4 linked regions of the Oryzias latipes genome follow. The protein of the gene in region 2 interacts with the protein of the main gene of each other region in a pairwise test. Links are inferred from orthologs where the notes say so. Each region holds a gene or a part of one and is shown on either strand. Other genes may lie near its edges. The genes, in order: pdgfra, receptor tyrosine-protein kinase erbB-2, hdac6 and ezrin.

The links.
Region 1: the proteins of receptor tyrosine-protein kinase erbB-2 (region 2) and pdgfra interact in a protein complementation assay, tested with the Homo sapiens proteins (2 studies listed by BioGRID, with this or other methods). The link is inferred for Oryzias latipes from reciprocal best matches to the Homo sapiens genes ERBB2 and PDGFRA.
Region 3: the proteins of receptor tyrosine-protein kinase erbB-2 (region 2) and hdac6 interact in a protein complementation assay, tested with the Homo sapiens proteins (2 studies listed by BioGRID and IntAct, with this or other methods). The link is inferred for Oryzias latipes from reciprocal best matches to the Homo sapiens genes ERBB2 and HDAC6.
Region 4: the proteins of receptor tyrosine-protein kinase erbB-2 (region 2) and ezrin interact in a protein complementation assay, tested with the Homo sapiens proteins (2 studies listed by BioGRID and IntAct, with this or other methods). The link is inferred for Oryzias latipes from reciprocal best matches to the Homo sapiens genes ERBB2 and EZR.

Annotation. Positions count from the first base shown.
Region 1 is NC_019862.2:528,952-533,287, forward strand, and holds the start of pdgfra (platelet-derived growth factor receptor alpha), read right to left. Parts: upstream 2,861-4,336; 5' UTR 2,667-2,860; intron 1,135-2,666; 5' UTR 1,117-1,134; coding exon 1,059-1,116; intron 975-1,058; coding exon 708-974; intron 613-707; coding exon 352-612; intron 117-351; coding exon 1-116. UniProt on the Homo sapiens protein: Tyrosine-protein kinase that acts as a cell-surface receptor for PDGFA, PDGFB and PDGFC and plays an essential role in the regulation of embryonic development, cell proliferation, survival and chemotaxis.
Region 2 is NC_019877.2:7,422,751-7,426,868, forward strand, and holds the start of receptor tyrosine-protein kinase erbB-2, read right to left. Parts: upstream 2,812-4,118; 5' UTR 2,582-2,811; coding exon 2,509-2,581; intron 1-2,508. UniProt on the Homo sapiens protein: Protein tyrosine kinase that is part of several cell surface receptor complexes, but that apparently needs a coreceptor for ligand binding. Essential component of a neuregulin-receptor complex, although neuregulins do not interact with it alone.
Region 3 is NC_019865.2:34,325,601-34,329,684, forward strand, and holds the start of hdac6 (histone deacetylase 6), read right to left. Parts: upstream 2,806-4,084; 5' UTR 2,678-2,805; intron 2,589-2,677; exon of another isoform or gene 2,572-2,588; intron 2,405-2,571; exon of another isoform or gene 2,399-2,404; 5' UTR 2,386-2,398; coding exon 2,314-2,385; intron 537-2,313; coding exon 414-536; intron 1-413.
Region 4 is NC_019882.2:6,207,404-6,211,630, forward strand, and holds the start of ezrin, read right to left. Parts: upstream 2,849-4,227; 5' UTR 2,620-2,848; coding exon 2,608-2,619; intron 1-2,607. UniProt on the Homo sapiens protein: Probably involved in connections of major cytoskeletal structures to the plasma membrane. In epithelial cells, required for the formation of microvilli and membrane ruffles on the apical pole. Along with PLEKHG6, required for normal macropinocytosis.

The sequences.
Region 1 (4,336 bases), on a different chromosome or scaffold from region 2:
CCACTCCTGCTTGTAGTTGGAGCCAGGCAGGGCCATGCATGTGATATTGAGAGGCTGGCCAGCTCTCACTGTCCTCTCAGTGGCTGTAACTTCCAGTGTGAAGTTTCTGCAACTGTCTGCAAATAAGAGCAGACATAAGCACTACCATCTCACAGGCAAAAAACATGTTTCCTCATTTCTGATATAGGTCACCGTCACTCACAGACACCGGCAGAAATAAACTTTTGTGTGAGGTAATCACCTCCACATACACATGCAACATGAAGCTCCCACAAAACCCAAAAAAGGAGTGCGTTGAAATTGTTTCTTTGGTGTTTTTAAATGAACTATGCAACAAGAATATCTGCTCACCTTCATGGGTCACGATGTAAATGTCACTCTTTACAGTGTGGCCATTGACAGAACTTTCACACTGGTACTGCCCAGGAACATCAATCCCAAAAAAGCCTATCTTTGCATCGTAGGGAGAGGAAATCGGCTCTCCACTGGGCACCCTCCTCAGGATGACGTGAGCGTTCGAGTGAGATACACGGCACGGGATTTCCACCATGTGTTGGGAGAGGATGAGATGAATGTTTTCTGGAGACTCGGGGACAAACAGGTTGCTGGGATCTGCAAGAAACACACAATACTCTTTTCATGGCTTTCTTGTTAAGGAATGTGTTCACTTCTGTGTTTTGTCCTTGCAAATATAAAATGAAACAGACCTGTAACAAAGACATAAATGTCAACTTCACTATCTTGCTGCTCTTCATAATTGCACACATAAAAGCCTGTGTTCCCCACAGTGACTCTGGAAATGAGCAGAGTGGCTGAGTTGTTCCCTGTAATGACTATGGAGTTTTCTGGCAGGGGCTTGACCCAGGAGACTTTTTTACTCTCCCCAAAGCAGGTCAAGTTGAGGAAAGAGTGAGGTTGTAGAAAAAGTTCCTTTAGGTTTGGGGTGATGGTTGGTCTTGCAACTGCAGAGGTGCCTGAGGGACAGATTTGCAACCATTACAGAGATTCATGGGGGGAAAAAGTTGTAAAATTCATTGCAGTCTCAAATACCTACTTACCTAGAACCAGCAGCACCAGGAATTTCTTAAACACAGCAAATGTTCTCACCCCACCCATGGTTATGGATGCTCAGGCCTGTGAAGACAGAACAGAGAGAAAACAACACACCATTTAGAATGTTTTTGCAAATTCTCCATTAGTTGCCAGTTTGATTAAGGTTTTGTTCCTTCAACAAAAGGGGGCGTGTATGTGTGTGTGTGTGGGGGGGGGGGGGGGGGTCAGAATGTCGATGCTCCCCACGTTATGCTTTACCGTAGTCAAAAAGTTTAAGGAGTCTTTCGAGGTGAGATCAACCAAGTCTAAAATAATCTAGTGATTTGAGGATGGTGCAGAGCACAAATGCTCCGGTAGAGGGCGACACAGTCCATCATTTGAGGATAGACCGCCTTCAGTGCGAATTGATGGAGAAAAACACAGAACTGTGGACACTGTGGTTCTGTCTGACTTTAAACCGCAGCTCTCTGTGTCTAATCCGTACTTTGAATCACTTCTGTGACTTTTTGTTTTGGGACATTGTTCTGGGAGTCTTTCATCAGTGTCCTCTAACTTCTTCTTGTAGTTGCTGCGGTTCTCCTCCGACTGAGGCTCGGCACAAAAAGCTCGAACAGTCCATTAAGAGTCTGGGTTTGTTGACTCTATAATTAGCGCACCCTCTGCACACAAAGTATATATGCGTGGGAATCAGTTGACGAAATGCACATTAGGTTTGCGCTTTTTGTCCTTAGCGGAGATCTCGTGAGCGTCAACAGACTGCAGAGGCGCTCCAGCTCCGCGCGTGCCCTGCGCGTCTGTCATGCTGAGCTCCCTGCTCTCCGAGCAAGCGGCAAATGCACAGAATCAGAATGAGGCAGCCTGTGCTGAGCTGGGGGCCATCTGTGCAGCAGCTGACAGAAGATGATCTGCTTCAGCTTCAGTGGGGGCTGCGAGAAAGGTGCATCGCTGAAGATGCAGAGATCTGTTTTCCTTAGCTGCTGAAGTCCTTGGTGTCGCAGTGGGGTTTGGGAGGTGGAGAATGTAGTAACCCCCCACTGATCCACCACCAAAAAAACCCCAGCTCCTCTTTTTCCGTTTTGTTGTAGTTTCATTTCTCTTTTGGATGTCCATCAAGTTTCACTCCAAAGATTTTCCGCTTGAATTCCCAACAAAATTCCACCAGAGGAGAAGATAGTGCGCTGCGTAAGCACTCCAATGTGTTCCCAATTAAACACAAGCAGCACCCCGCAGCAGAGCCTTCTGTCTTGGAGGTGAAACATCCAGCTGTGAGGCGAGAACTGAGCGCCTTTATCCAACAGCGTGAGCCACGTCTCCCGCTCAGCCAAATGGGGGACCGGAGAGAGGACTTCAGACAACCGGCGAAAACCTTTACGAATCATCGCTTAATGAAGTTATGACAACTTACAAGGTCTGGAGGCTCCACAGATTCACCAATAAAGTTTGATAAACTTTTTGTAGGTTTACAGAAAAAGGATACTGCGGTAATTAGATAAGATTGTAGCAAAACTAAAAAAAAACCACCAACAACAACGAAACAAACAAAAACCTACTACAATAGATTAAAATGATTTTTAAATAAGTTATGAAACTACTTCAATAGAGCTCTCAGTTACCTTTTACTAATCCCCTCTCTATTGCTTTAGTGCGATGATATCCAGAATGAATAGGCGAGTAAAAAGGCGCAAAAAAAGGCTCCTTTGCAGCGGCGTTAATCCTTGGAGATCATGCGCTGTCGAGCGTCTGTCTGCGCGACCCTCCGCCCGCATCAGCGACCGCCTTCACAACTGCGCTGCAGCCACGGCGACCTGTAACTGATTCAACGTTACAGTCCTCCCCCTCCAGCCCCTGCAGAAAAAGCAAAGCATCTTGCTTAAAGTAAATAACGCTCAGGAAATACACCCCCCCCCCTTCTGGTGAAGCGCTGAACCCAGTTTCAAAGTGAGAATAAGAGTCTTGATCATGAAATGTTTACTCAGATTTCACTGATTTCTTGATTTAAAAACTTTTAAAAGCCTTTATTTGGGTTAAGTCCAACGTGGCTGTTGTTTAAAAAATCTATGATCCTTTATTGCGCATGCAAAAGATGAGATTTGTTTCTCGAAACGCACGGGTACAGCAATTATAGCTTTTATTTTTCATGTAGAATCAGATTTTTTAAGTGAACGGATCCAGTGTGTGGAGCTGGAATCAGGCACTGCAGCCCAGAGGAGCAGGGGGCGCTCCAACACCATCATATTTACGCGCAGTCCTGGAGCGCGGCACACATCCACCACACATCTGACAACAGAAAAGAGACTTCAAACATCAGGGTCGTTCAAACATCGTTTTCATCACCAGAAAACAAAATTGGTTGCATGCCAGATAACCAAGTCTATGAGCAGAACCGCTTAAGTTGGTGCGAGTCTCCAAACTCTTGGGCGGGAACAATGGATCCCATTGACCAACTGGGTACAGGACAGAAATACCAGAAAAACCTAAAGGTAGAGGCAAGGGCCCGGGGCCCACTCCCCACCCCCTCCTCCGCTCCGCGTATGCAGCCTCTTGGTGGAATCACTTCCACATGTTAGAAGAACTGTGTCCTTGTTCTCCAAACAAAGAACTTCAGCCTCAGAAGAGCAAATTTACCTCAAACTGGGCTGAAGCTCCACCTTCTGATGGGTTTTCTGAGAAAAAACTAAATACAGCCATGCAGGTAAAACCTTTACAAATAATTGTGTTTTTACTGATAAAGGGGAATGTCAACTTTCACTGAAAACAAGAATTTACTTCTCTGTAACCCAGGATAATAAAATAATGACATCATATATTTTGTTTTATTGTTTCTGGACCGGAAGAGTTTCTTGTTTAATCCCATTTGTCCTTCCTGTGACTGACCACCAGGGGCTTTGAGGAGGAATGTCAAAAGGTATTTCTGACACAGTATATATGTATTTAAAAAAAACAATCATGTAACCTACTTCACATTTTTTTGTATGGGGTTTCAAAAACTAGCTCAACCATTGTGATGAGCCACGATAGTATCAAAAACCTTTTTAGTCCCAAATGATTTAATTCATAATGTATATTTAAATTTTAATCTATCTATCTATCTATCTATCTATCTATCTATCTATCTATCTATCTATCTATCTATCTATCTATCTATCTATCTATCTATCTATCTATCTATCTATCTATCTATCTATCTATCTATCTATCTATCTATCTATCTATCTATCTGTCTGTCTGTCTGTCTGTCTGTCTGTCTGTCTGTCTGTCTGTCTGTCTGTCTGTCTGTCTGTCT
Region 2 (4,118 bases):
TTATATCGTCATCACAATATTGAATACTAATATTGCAAGTTTTCCTCATATCATGCAGACCTACAGTCAATGTAGTTTACCAACATTGAGCTAAAACAATTTGACAGATTTCTGAGTACTGTGTATCATAGAAATTCAGTTCCAGGTCAAAAGAACAAATAAATTCCTACAGACCGACAATATTTTGGGAAACTGAAGGCATAAAAATGTGCATCAAAGTCATATAAATATGATATTTTTTAACCTTTGGATCTATATGAAGACAACAAGGAGAGACCCAAGAGCTTCAAGCCTTCAAGATATTTATGAAGCATCCACACCACTGACTATTATTAGTGAACGCATCACAGTCCTCTTTTTAAATTTAGCTGCTCCAATGCCGGGTCTGAACATGAGAGTTGAGCTTATGGGAAACCATTCATGCACAAAATCTTTAAAAAAAAAACACACACACGCACATTTTGCATACATGCAATAAAATAACACTGACATGCAAACATTTTATGTAGGGTAAGGGCAATTTGAGCATTTTATACAAATAATGACAACATATAATATAGACAAATCTCCCTCCAAGTAAAAAAGCATTTTAGATATAACCTGAGCTGAAGTGAGAACTTTAGTGTGATTATTGGTAAAGTCTTTGATAAGAAATTCTAAATTTTGATAGGATTCATTACAATTGATTAAATGTCATTTTACTGGTCAAATTTTTGTTTTAAAATAAGTTGTTTAGTGATGAAGTGACCAAAAGTAAAACCTTTGATCATAATATTGTGAAATCTCACAATAGAAACGAATAAATTTGATACATTTTTCCAGATAATTTGTGATACATTCTTATAAAAAGAATTAAATCGAGGAATTTCATATTTTTGAATTGTCTTTTTAATTGAAACAAATTGATCTTCAAACACAGCCTTTAAAAGGTTTACATGAAAAAAATGATAGTGTCTTAGTGTTAAATGCCCAGGTTAAGATGCAAAATAATATTAAAACAATAAGATGCTTGATTGGTTGAATTAAAAGTTTTTTATTGCCAAAAAACGGACGTTCCTCTGAAAAACATGAGGGTGAGCGGAGCCTTTTTAGAGAACGACCATCCTGATCTCAGTCAGAGTGGGTCAGGTCACTAACAGTCTAGACGGGCAGAGTTAACCTGCAACTAGCGTCAATTCAAATAGACTTTGCCTTGAGGTGCGCTAAAATATGACAAGGGCGTGAACTGTGCGTCCACTGAGGCAATCGCCTCACACCAAGGATCCTGCATAGAGGGGCTGTGCACACGTGTGAGTGACATAACAAATGAAAGTAAGAAGGCTGGAAGTCAACACTTGGGCATAACATGTTGCTTAACTCTGGGAACCAGTCAGAGCACTCCGGCACAGGTCCGATGCTTCAGAGATCAACACTGCAGACTAAAGTGCACCAACCTGTTCCCCCCAACAATGCTGTCGCGTTCAGAAATGACTTCACCTGTGACTACTGGCTTTGTTCCTGCGTGTGTCCGATTAGTGGTAGTGCTTCGGGGGCAGCTAATAAAACAGGAGTATTGTTTGTGCTCTAAGGATTTCGTCTTTCAACTTAATTGAGCTGGAAATTGGTAATCAAAGTCCAAAAAAAAAAATTCATGGCTCTTTTTGTTGTTTTTAACCCCAAAAACTGGCAATTTAATAAAGTCTGCACATAGTCTCAGTCTGTGCAAAGGTTTTACATGTTTATTGATATTGCTAAATCCTCCTAGAACAGATATTAAACTAGTTCATAATAATAATCATGAAAACTGTGGTTTTCTTGCAGAAATAAAAAATGATATTGGAGTTTTTCAAATCTGACTCCTTTTCTTCGACTTTATATAATTGGTATATGAAATGTGAAAAACAATGAAACAAATAGTTTAGAGCGGTGCTACTTTCTGCAACATGAAGAAATCCAAAAACTCCTCAGGTTTGGCTTTAAACAAAAGAAATCTTGATTTGCATTTTGCAAATTTGCTCTTATTTGCACTTTCAGTTAGTTAGCTCTTACTTTACTGGCATGCACTCCAAGCTCCAAGTGTGATAAGTGGCCCTCTATCAGACAATGTCCCCTTAGGAGCCAGAAGTGAATAATTGACATAGTCATGATGATCTTCTGCACACAGAGCTTTTGTTTGTTTGTTTGTTTGTTGTTTACCAACACTGCTCTGCTGCATCTCAACACCAGTTCTCGAGTTTATTGCCCAACTATGTGGCTTTAACTCTCTTTATTCAATTTAGTGTAAGTTTGTAATTGAAATTCAAACTGAAAGCTTTTAGCGAAGCTACTTTTTGACAGGTGGGAATTTTGTCCTTATCTGCGCTCCATAACTCCCATGAATCTCCGCAGGGAGGACGAAATCACGTACGAGGAATGCAGGAACCCGCGTCGACTTCACACTTCACGTCCACACGAACACAACTCGAACGGGGTCTAGTATGTCCGCGTTCCCAAACCGTGAGAGCGCAAAAGACGACAAAAGTCACCCACCTTCTCCGCCCAAAACGCCCGGCACTCCGAGCAGAACGGCTCCGATAAACACCAAACTTCTCGCGGCTTCCATCTGCTCGCACCCGGCGCGTTTAGTCCATATTCCAGAGTTAGGTCTGTCTAATATTCGTTGTAGCCGACAAAAAAAACACAATAGGTCTTTTCCTTCTTAAAATATTAGACCTTAAAATAATAGCAGCTTTAATCTCGACTCCCTTAGTGAAATTGCTGCCCTTCTTCCTATCCACGGAGACTTCCGAACTCGGACTGTTGGTAGTAACAGTGTGACAAGCGCGCTCCCGTGAAGGCCTGCGCGAGGAGTGGCACTCTGACTCCGCCCACAATCACAGATTTCTGTCTGCAGACCTCAAACTCACTACACGCTTATCAATGTGACATTAAAGACTGTAATGCATGGATTCCTTCTGTCATACAAATATATATATGTTTATTTATTTATTGGTCAAATTTATGTATCCTACTCAAACATGTTTTTTTTCCAACTGAAATGTATCTGAAAAGTGTTCTAAACGCTCATCTTTATGAGGCTGTAGCTTTGAGCATCATGTTAGAACACTGCCAAAAGAACTTAAAGTTCTCTAAAATAAAAATGTGCTGAAGTGTTTAAAAATCATTTTTGTTGGAACAACAAAATAAAATAAAAACTTCCACACCATAATACTACTACCTTCACCAACTTGGCACCTTGCATTTTCAATGGTAGATCTTCCTGGCACCCCAGAATCCCAGAAGGTATCAAATGCAGATTTTTAAATTTATTTGAATTTAAATCATAACATATGGGAAATAGTCAATATTTCAGGACTTTTTTTTCTCCAAATTTTCCATGATACAAGAAATACCAAAAAATTAGATCAGACTGTCTTTGTCAACAAACTTCAAGATGTTGGATTATGTTGTAATTATTGTTGTTTATGGAGGATTTAGCAGTAGCATCTCAAGGAGATGCTTGATCCTGTGAGATGTTCTCAGGCTTGTTATCCTTTTTGTTTTCAGTCTATTGGGGGCTAACATTTCTTGTGCTTTGTCCAAAAAACCCCCCCACATATATGTATTTACACACAGACACGCACACAATACAATTTTCCTGCTCTATTTCCAAACTTTCCCCAAGTGCATAGACTCATACATCTCTGTATCTCACCATTTACTGATTCACTAGAGTGGCTAAACTTTCATAATGACTTCTGGAACAAATTTAAAGAAATCTTCAGTGGGCAAGCAATGGAAGAAAAAAATGTATCTCTAAACAAGTTGAAAATACAGAAAAGTAGAAGTTCTTTTCTTGTTATAAGGGAAAACAAATTTGACATTGGAACTAGAAGAACTTGTTTTGGTAAAATTTCTTAAAATAAATTGTGATGTAATAACCTTTTAAGACAAATTGTTTATGTATATTTCACTGGTAATAGGAAATATTGCATTTAAATGACAAGGTATTGCCAAAATAAGGGTTTTAAATCTTTAAAGTGGGTATGTTTGCACACCTTTCCCCCAAATATATCACATTTTAACAGCTATAACAGTCCAACTACCCCTCTATAGAATCATCCTAAAGACCAGAATCATAAAATATTAAAAACTAAAGA
Region 3 (4,084 bases), on a different chromosome or scaffold from region 2:
TTAAAACTTTTTACAAAGATAAGTCATTTTATTTATGTTGAAGCTTTGCTTTATTTACTATAAAAACTTTAAGGAACTGTTTATTTAATATGTTTTACTACTTCAAAAAGATGCTGCTGAGCCCCTTACTCCCTGAACTTCTAGGAGCTTTTTATTTGCTTTTTTTCTGTATAAAAAAAACAACAAGTTAATTGTTGGTGTTTGTATTATTCTAAGTTTGGATGCCAATATTTGAAATTTTACTACTATTAAATATTGGCTCCAAATATCAGTTACCAGCTTTCTTGACTACTAATAATCATTATGGACCCTGAAAAAACAAAATAAACGAGTAACTAAAAACAAACCACTTCGGTCAAGCAAAGCCTAGCCGTTTCTACTAACTACGGAATAAAGTCAAACTGAAGTCTCACCAGTGCCCCCATGATACTACTTAGCTCCTCGTCCTTCTGATAGCTTCTCTCAATTCTTCCTCTCCTCTTCACTTCTTGCAGATTGCTTCCTCTTCTTCTTTCCTCTATTCCATCTTTGCTGTCCTGAAGAAAAAAGGGAGGACAGAAGATGTGAACGTTTAGTATGTGGCGGATCCAAATCCACCTTGGGTAGTTGATTGACTTTCCTTCGTACAGTCAGGGTGGCAAGCATAAAAAAATGAACCTGTAAGCACAAACCTAACGCAAACCACACAAAAATGTTAAAACATCATAAACACAAACACAAATTGCACAAATGCAAGGTATAGCTAATCAAAGATAGCTGCACGGTCTCACTCACCTGACTGTTTAAATGATATGTTTGTCCTTAACACCCCGCCTCCCACCCCCGTCTAACTTTTGCGGTTTGTGCTGAACCCTGAACCCTCGAGAAGGATATTGGCAAATCCAACACTAAGAATGGTTGACAAGCTGCAAATGTGTTCAAATGTTTAAGGTCATGCATGACCCCTCTACCTCTATACCACGCCCACACTTTTATGTGTCAATAAACAAAAAACTACAGAGAAACCTGCAGACAACTAAAACACTTTAAGATGTAGAAACACCTGTACAGTAAGAAAAACACATGCAAATACTTAAGAACTCTGAAGACACTTAAAAACACTCACATAAGCCTAAAAAGACATGTGGACTAAAAAAGACCTACAAGAACTTGGAAAAACCTAGAGACACATAACACCAGTAAATACTAAAGAAAACACCTGCAGACACATGAAAACACCTGCAGACACATGAAAACACCTGCAGACACATAAAAACACCTGCAGACACATGAAAACACCTGCAGACACATAAAAACACCTGCAGACACATGAAAACACCTGCAGACACATAAAAACACCTGCAGACACATGAAAACACCTGCAGACACATAAAAACACCTGCAGACACATGAAAACACCTGCAGACACATAAAAACACCTGCAGACACATGAAAACATCTGAAGACACATGAAAATGTCTGCAGATGGTGGTGGAAAAGTTTGCTTATTTAGCTTTTTTATTTCTTTTACCAGGATATGAGATTAAGTTTTAAGGGATTTCTGATGGCGAGAAAAGCATAATATCCCTTAGGTCATTTGCAAAAATAACTATTAGTGTAGGGGCTGCACGGTGGTGCAGTGGTTAGCGCTCTTGCCTCACAGCAAGAAGGCCCCCGGTTCAAGTCCCGGCTGGGGGACATGAAAAACACAACATCAATGGGGGACCTTTCTGTGTGGAGTTTGCATGTTCTCCCCGTGCATGCGTGGGTTCTCTCCGGGATCTCCGGCTTCCTCCCACTGTCCAAAAACATGCTTCATAGGTTGATTGGCAACTCTAAATTGTCCATAGGTGTGAGTGTGAGAGTGGATGGATGTGTGATTGAGGATATTCCACCCTGCGACAGACTGGCGACCAGTCCAGGGTATCCCTTGCCTACGCCCAAGTGGCCGGGATAGGCTCCGGCAACCCCGTGACCCCGAAAGGGAAAAAACGGTCAAGAAGATGAATGAATGAACTATTAGTGTACTTGTGTGGGGCATTTGTCAAAATGAGATCAATCAAGGATGATCTAGAGGGGCACTTAATATTAGGACGGGTAGGACTATCGATAAATTGAGTGAGATTTAAATAATTGTGAATGATGCCCTGAAAAGCCTGCAAATGCCTGGAAACCCCTGAAGACACCTTAAAAAAGCAAAAGTAACCTGGAAATGTCTGCAAACACCAGAGAAGGCAGATCTAAACAAAATGTTGTAAGCATCTTTATTAGCAGATCACCTGAGGTCAGATCAACCTCCATTACGATCTGGACGTAGTTTTGAGTGTTACTGACCTGCGATGACAGACGTGGAGACCTTCTGACCGACTTGGATCCAGATCGTGGAGGTTCTGACCCAGGCTGCATGGCTGGTTGTCACCTGGAGAGCAGCAGAGTGTAGATCAGCGCAGTTCTCTGTCTGTCAGGGCCATTCAGTTATGACAGTTTTACAGATCCAACACATTTCAGAAAAAACTAAATCTGCACCGTCATTTTCTCCAGGTTTGATAACGTTTTTCTGACTGTAACATAAATAAACCAAAACCACGATACCTGAAGCTAACCACTGAATCAGGGGGGGGGGGGGGGGGGGGGGGGGGGGGGGGGGCAGAACCGGACCTCTTTTCCTGTGGATCTGTTCTACTACAACACTTCCTACCAGAGCGAACTGAGGATGTCCGAATCGAACTGGTTGGTTGCGGGATCTGCACGCTCTTGTTTGTTTAGTCTATCAAAGCGCCAGGACGCGCACTGTCGCCCTCAGATGACGCCACAACGAAGGCGCCCGCAGATCGCCTGGTTTTTTTTTTTTAAACAAACTTTATTGTACATTTTTCAATTTACAGACATTCACAGTCACTTACTTGCTCAATAAACAATTGTTAATATCAAACACACATATAAGACTGAAAAAAACGAAAAATAGTAATATTTTTAACAATGTGTGTGCCTTTTTTTTTTTTTTTTTTTTATAGATGCTCATATACAAACCAAATTAGGGTGAACAAACGTTATAAATGCACATATAGAAAGAAAAAGAAACAAAAATGAAATAATAGGCAAAGGCAAGGCCAAAACAATTCAAAATAATAATACTTTTGATATATTCTGATAAATGACTGTAGTTTTCTTGTTTTTGTTAGGAATGCATTTAAGACACTTATAATAATCAGAAAAATAATTCAAAAAAATACTAAATAGAGGGCATGTATTTTTCCATTTACACAAATGAATGAAATGTTTGCATAAAATAATAACAACATTAATGACATCAGAAATTCCCGGGTCCAGATTTTCCATATAGAAAAGAACATCATATAAGGAAAAAAAGGGAATATTTAAAATTTTGATTGACAACCAATTGTGTATATCAGACCAAAATATTTTAACCTGGTTGCAACTGTAAAACAGATGTTCTAATGTTTCAGTTTCAGATGAACAGAATATGCATGGTTCCGATTCAAATTTGAATCTTTTATGTAAAAAATCTCCAACAGGGTAAATTTTAGATATTATTTTAAAATGCGTTTCTTTCATTTTAGGAGGAAGTGGGTACTTTATGTATAAAGAAAAAGATTTGTTCATTTGGGTGGTTTCTAAATCGCATCTATTGTTTATACTAAAGTTGCAGAAAATTAATTGCTTAAAGGTTAGAGTTATTAATTTATTGTTGCATTTTTTATCTTTTAGGGGAATATTATTAATTTTCAGCACCGAAAGTTGTGGTTTGATTTCATTGTATTGTAGTATGTTTTGAATGAGATTAAGTAGAGGTATGGGAATTGCTTTACAGACTTTGTTATAACAGTTACTAGAATCCTTAATCTTGTATTTGGTTACAAATTCATAGTATGATAACAGCCTTCCATCAGTACGCATCAAGTCATGGACAAAATACACACCATTACCATACCATTCAGACATAAACAAGGATTTCTTGTTTACAGTTATAAATCTGTTGTTCCATAAAACAGTGTTGTGAGGGGAGAAGTTATGGTTGAAAAGCATCTTCCCAAATTCTAAGGCTTGTTTGTAAAAGTTTGATAGTTTTATTGGTACTTTTGAA
Region 4 (4,227 bases), on a different chromosome or scaffold from region 2:
CTCTGTGTGTATTTCTTGACTGTGGTTAACGGTGAAATGCTAGGTTGAACGCTGTGAAAACTAAATTTAATGTCATTAGTTAATAGAACGTCAAGCCGAATGGTTGACATTTCCACCTTACCAAGTCTGGCCCTCTTTGCAAAACGTTTGAACACCCCTATCCTAAACTGACAAACCCTATGACTATATATATGAAAAGTTATAATGACTGAAAACGACAGTTTTAGCCTTAATGGCTGATAGTTTTCATCCATCATAAATCTAATAATTCTGACAGTATAGAGCCATGCGGTGCAAGCGTTTAAACAGATTGGTGATGGGAAGTGGGGTAGGCTTACTCGACGCTAGCAGTTCCGCACACAACTCTGAGGCAGATTTCTAATGAGCAACTGCTGCTCTGCAGAAAATGTCATAGAAAATGACAGTTTTTTTTTTAATGGCTAAAACAGAATAATCAATAAAAGATGACTATCTGGAAGTCAATCATCTTTTAATGATTATGCTGATTTTGGTTCATTATGAAGTCTGGATAAGCTGCGCTACACCTTTGCGTTTTTCATTGATAACCATCCAGCATTCTGCCCTCTGCATAGCTCAAATGCTTTACAAGAACCAGTAACAATGGGAGTCGCCATGGATATCCCAGTAAAGTCACTAGAGCGCAAGAAGGTCATAAAAACAAAGAAGCTGCTGTATGCAAGTTCTACGGATGTAAAATTTGAACACACAGGGTTCAGAGGCATGTGATGATTTTGTAATCATCTCTAGGGGGGGCTCATTTGACCCAGTCATCACATATTAAAAAGAGAAGTACCATTAATAGAATCGCACCGAAAAAGAAAACGCCCATGCTGATGTTGACCACACCTTGTGTGGTTTTTGTCATGAGCCGAGACACAGCACAGAGATCCTAACAGTGTTATGTCATTCAAATCAATCCAATATGAGGCATAATGTTATAAATAGACAAGCTTTACAATAGACACACACAAATACAAACCAAACATCGGAGCTGTAATAGCAAAATACTGTTAGTTTTCATTTTTTAGTTTGCAAAACCAACATTAACTCTTATATTGTGTTCAGATCAAAACTGACTCAAACACAATATAGGAGTGAAGAATGGCCAAGAATAGAGGCTGACCTTTGTTTGAAATATGTCTGCATGCTAGATAAGGGCAGCTGTTGAAGAAGAGGACAAAAGGACGTGGAATGTGGCTGAGTCGTACTGAAGAGGGTACCACACACAAACCTTTCATGGTGGTTCTGCAGGCACCTTTTATTTAGCATCTCTAGTTACAGTTACTGTTGGTTTTATAACTAAATGTTAAACATTTTAGCCTCCAACTTAACTTGACTAATGGAATTAGAATCTATATCAAAACTAATTTTTTTGTAAATCCAACTAAAACCTGTATGTGTTTGGCTTTAAAACATCTCGAACTTTATGTAATTTCAGATTTTACTAAAGACTACCACAACAGTGAAACAGTATTAAAAAGATTCATTTTTCCTGACAGAAAAACATAACAGATCTAATCTAAAAATTATATAAATAAAAAATGCATGTCACAGCTCCTTTGTCCTTATAAACACCCAGTGTTTCTTTCATGCCTAACAATGTTGTTTTGCCATCAGATGAGGATGGTGTCATTTCCACAGCAAGGCTCCTGACAACCCCAATGCCTCTCTAAACACAGCAACGGCAGCCTTTATGGTCCTGACCGCCGCTGTGATGATCACCACATGGACCAGCGTGAAGCACTTCTGCTATTTTTTCATTGCAACTGTAATATTTAAGTCCACCTGTAATGTGCAGGCCCAGACTGTATATTAAATTAATAAACGAGGGTCAGTTCAAGTCACGTCCAAAGAAATCCCCATCATATTTTCCATCTGACACTTAAATGTGAGCACGGAACCAGAAATTTCCAGGCAGGGAGCTGAGGGAAAGACATGTGTGACTGTTCAGAATGCAATGGCCGGGGTGGGGCAAACTGTGAGTCAGGAGGAGCTGAAGGCACAGCCTCCTCAAACAAACATATATGCATATATTTATGACACGATTTTATACAGCAACAAAAAGGGAAAAAGGACATTGCAGTTAAACCGGTGCATCCTCCCATTTAAAAACAACACACTTGGTTGTGATGTGCACCACAGAGGATGACTGATAACAACTGGCCTCCTTTGTAACGTCATATCAAACAAATCCTTTCTGGAGATATTAGGGGAAAGTGATGCTCCCCCAGGCTGAAGTTGGATGAATGGGATTCAACTTTGACCCCCCCAAATTTCCTTTTTTTTAATACATATTTCAATAATATTCATATGAATTCCTGAGAACATTAAGTTACCAAAGGGAAACAACAGTTACCGCCTCCCTCCTCAATCTAAAAGAAAAACCCTCAGTGAGGCAGCATCAGTCTGACACCAGCATCTCCTTTAACAGATTTATGAGGTTTTTGTGCGTAAAAATGGAATGACGTCTCAATTAGGGTGACCTCAAAGCGGCTACGCGCGCCGGCTTTACGAACGCCACCTGTGCGCTCTCCGCAACTTTTCTCCTCCTAAAGCAGGAATTCCTCAAACAGCAGAGTGACTTACCGCTTTCGGCATGTTGCTGCTCTTCTCCCGGGATAAACAGCAGGAATTGGGTTGATCGAAAGAGTCCTCTAAAAGGAAATAAAATAAATAAAGCTTTGCTCCTTGTGACAGCGCCTCTCGCTGCGTCTGTAAATGAGATCAGAGAAAAGCAGAGAAACGAGTTTTCAACTTTTCACTCTGACTTAAAGGCTGAGGACGCAGGCCACTCCTGCGGACGACAGTCACCGGGATGAATCACCTCCAACAGCCGGCAAGCTGACATGCGCGCTGCTGCCTTCAAAATAAAAGCATGCAACACAAAAGAAAGCAACCTTCTCCAATCACGCCCATATTTTTGTTTGGTTTTTTATCATCGTGGTATTTCTTCAATCAAGCATTATTTTTTGTTGTTTTGATTGTTTGTTAACAATGGATGAGCCTATTAGAGGGTGCTAGAAGGAGTTCTATATTCACATCACAAATAGTAAGAAAAAAAGAAGAATTAAAATGCAGGTAAATTTAAAACAAGTTGAATTTAAAATACTTTATTTTAAACTGTTTTAATTTTATTTATTATATCAATATTTTCTATTTATCAAAATTGAATAATCAATACTATAATCTATTTCTGCGCATTGATATTAGTAGGAATTCAATCTCTGTTTTTGGCTGTCTAAATATGTTTTTTACATTTCTCTGCAATAAATAGAAATATATTTAAAAGACCTTTTTGTTGAAAATTTTCCTTTTTTAATATTGTACTTAATACAGATTCTAGTTCCATTTCATAACTGATGTTTCTATATTACATTTCTGAAACAGTTCCAGACACTTTTGTATTTACATAATGTTTTTATAATGAAGGTTTCTTTTCACCCACTTTGTTTTACCTTTGTTAAATTGTTTACTGTTCACCTGGACAAGAAGAGCCAAAATAGCCTCACCATAGAACACTGAGGTCCTTTAGAGTTAGCAGGCCTCTCCTATAAGGTCATTCAATGACTCTGTGGTAGCCTCTGCAATCCTTCACACTCTGGTCTGCTGGGGAGCAAGCAGCACAGACCGGGACAGGAAGAAACAGAAAAAGGTGGTCAGGAGAGCCAGTTCTGTCCTGGGCTCCCCACTGGACTCTTTTGAGGTGGTAAGTGAGAGGAGGATCTTGGCAAAACTGAGATTGATCATGGACAACACCTCTCACCCACCACATCAGACAGTATAGAGGCGCTGAGCAGCTTCTTCAGCAGCAGAGTGTTACACGCACAATATAAGAAGGGGCGTATAAAAGAAGGTCCTTCATTCAACCACTGTTAGACCGTACAACCTAGTCTAACAACAGATTCAATATTGGTTTATTCCTGACAGAAACATTCAATGCTCTACTGCTTTTCTAGTTCTGTTGTTTTCTTTTTCTCCGGCAATGCAAGTATTAAGTATATAATGAGAGTTTTTGAAGAGTTTTATAATTTTATTTGATCTTTTTATGTTGTTTTAACCATACTTTTAATTGTTTTGCACATTTTACTTTTCTTTTGCCTGATCTCCAGAGCTGCTGTAACAGATGAATGTCCCCACGGCTGGATCAATAAAGTTTAACTTATCTTATCTTAGTGGGTTTTTAATTGCTTATATTTGCTGTAGATT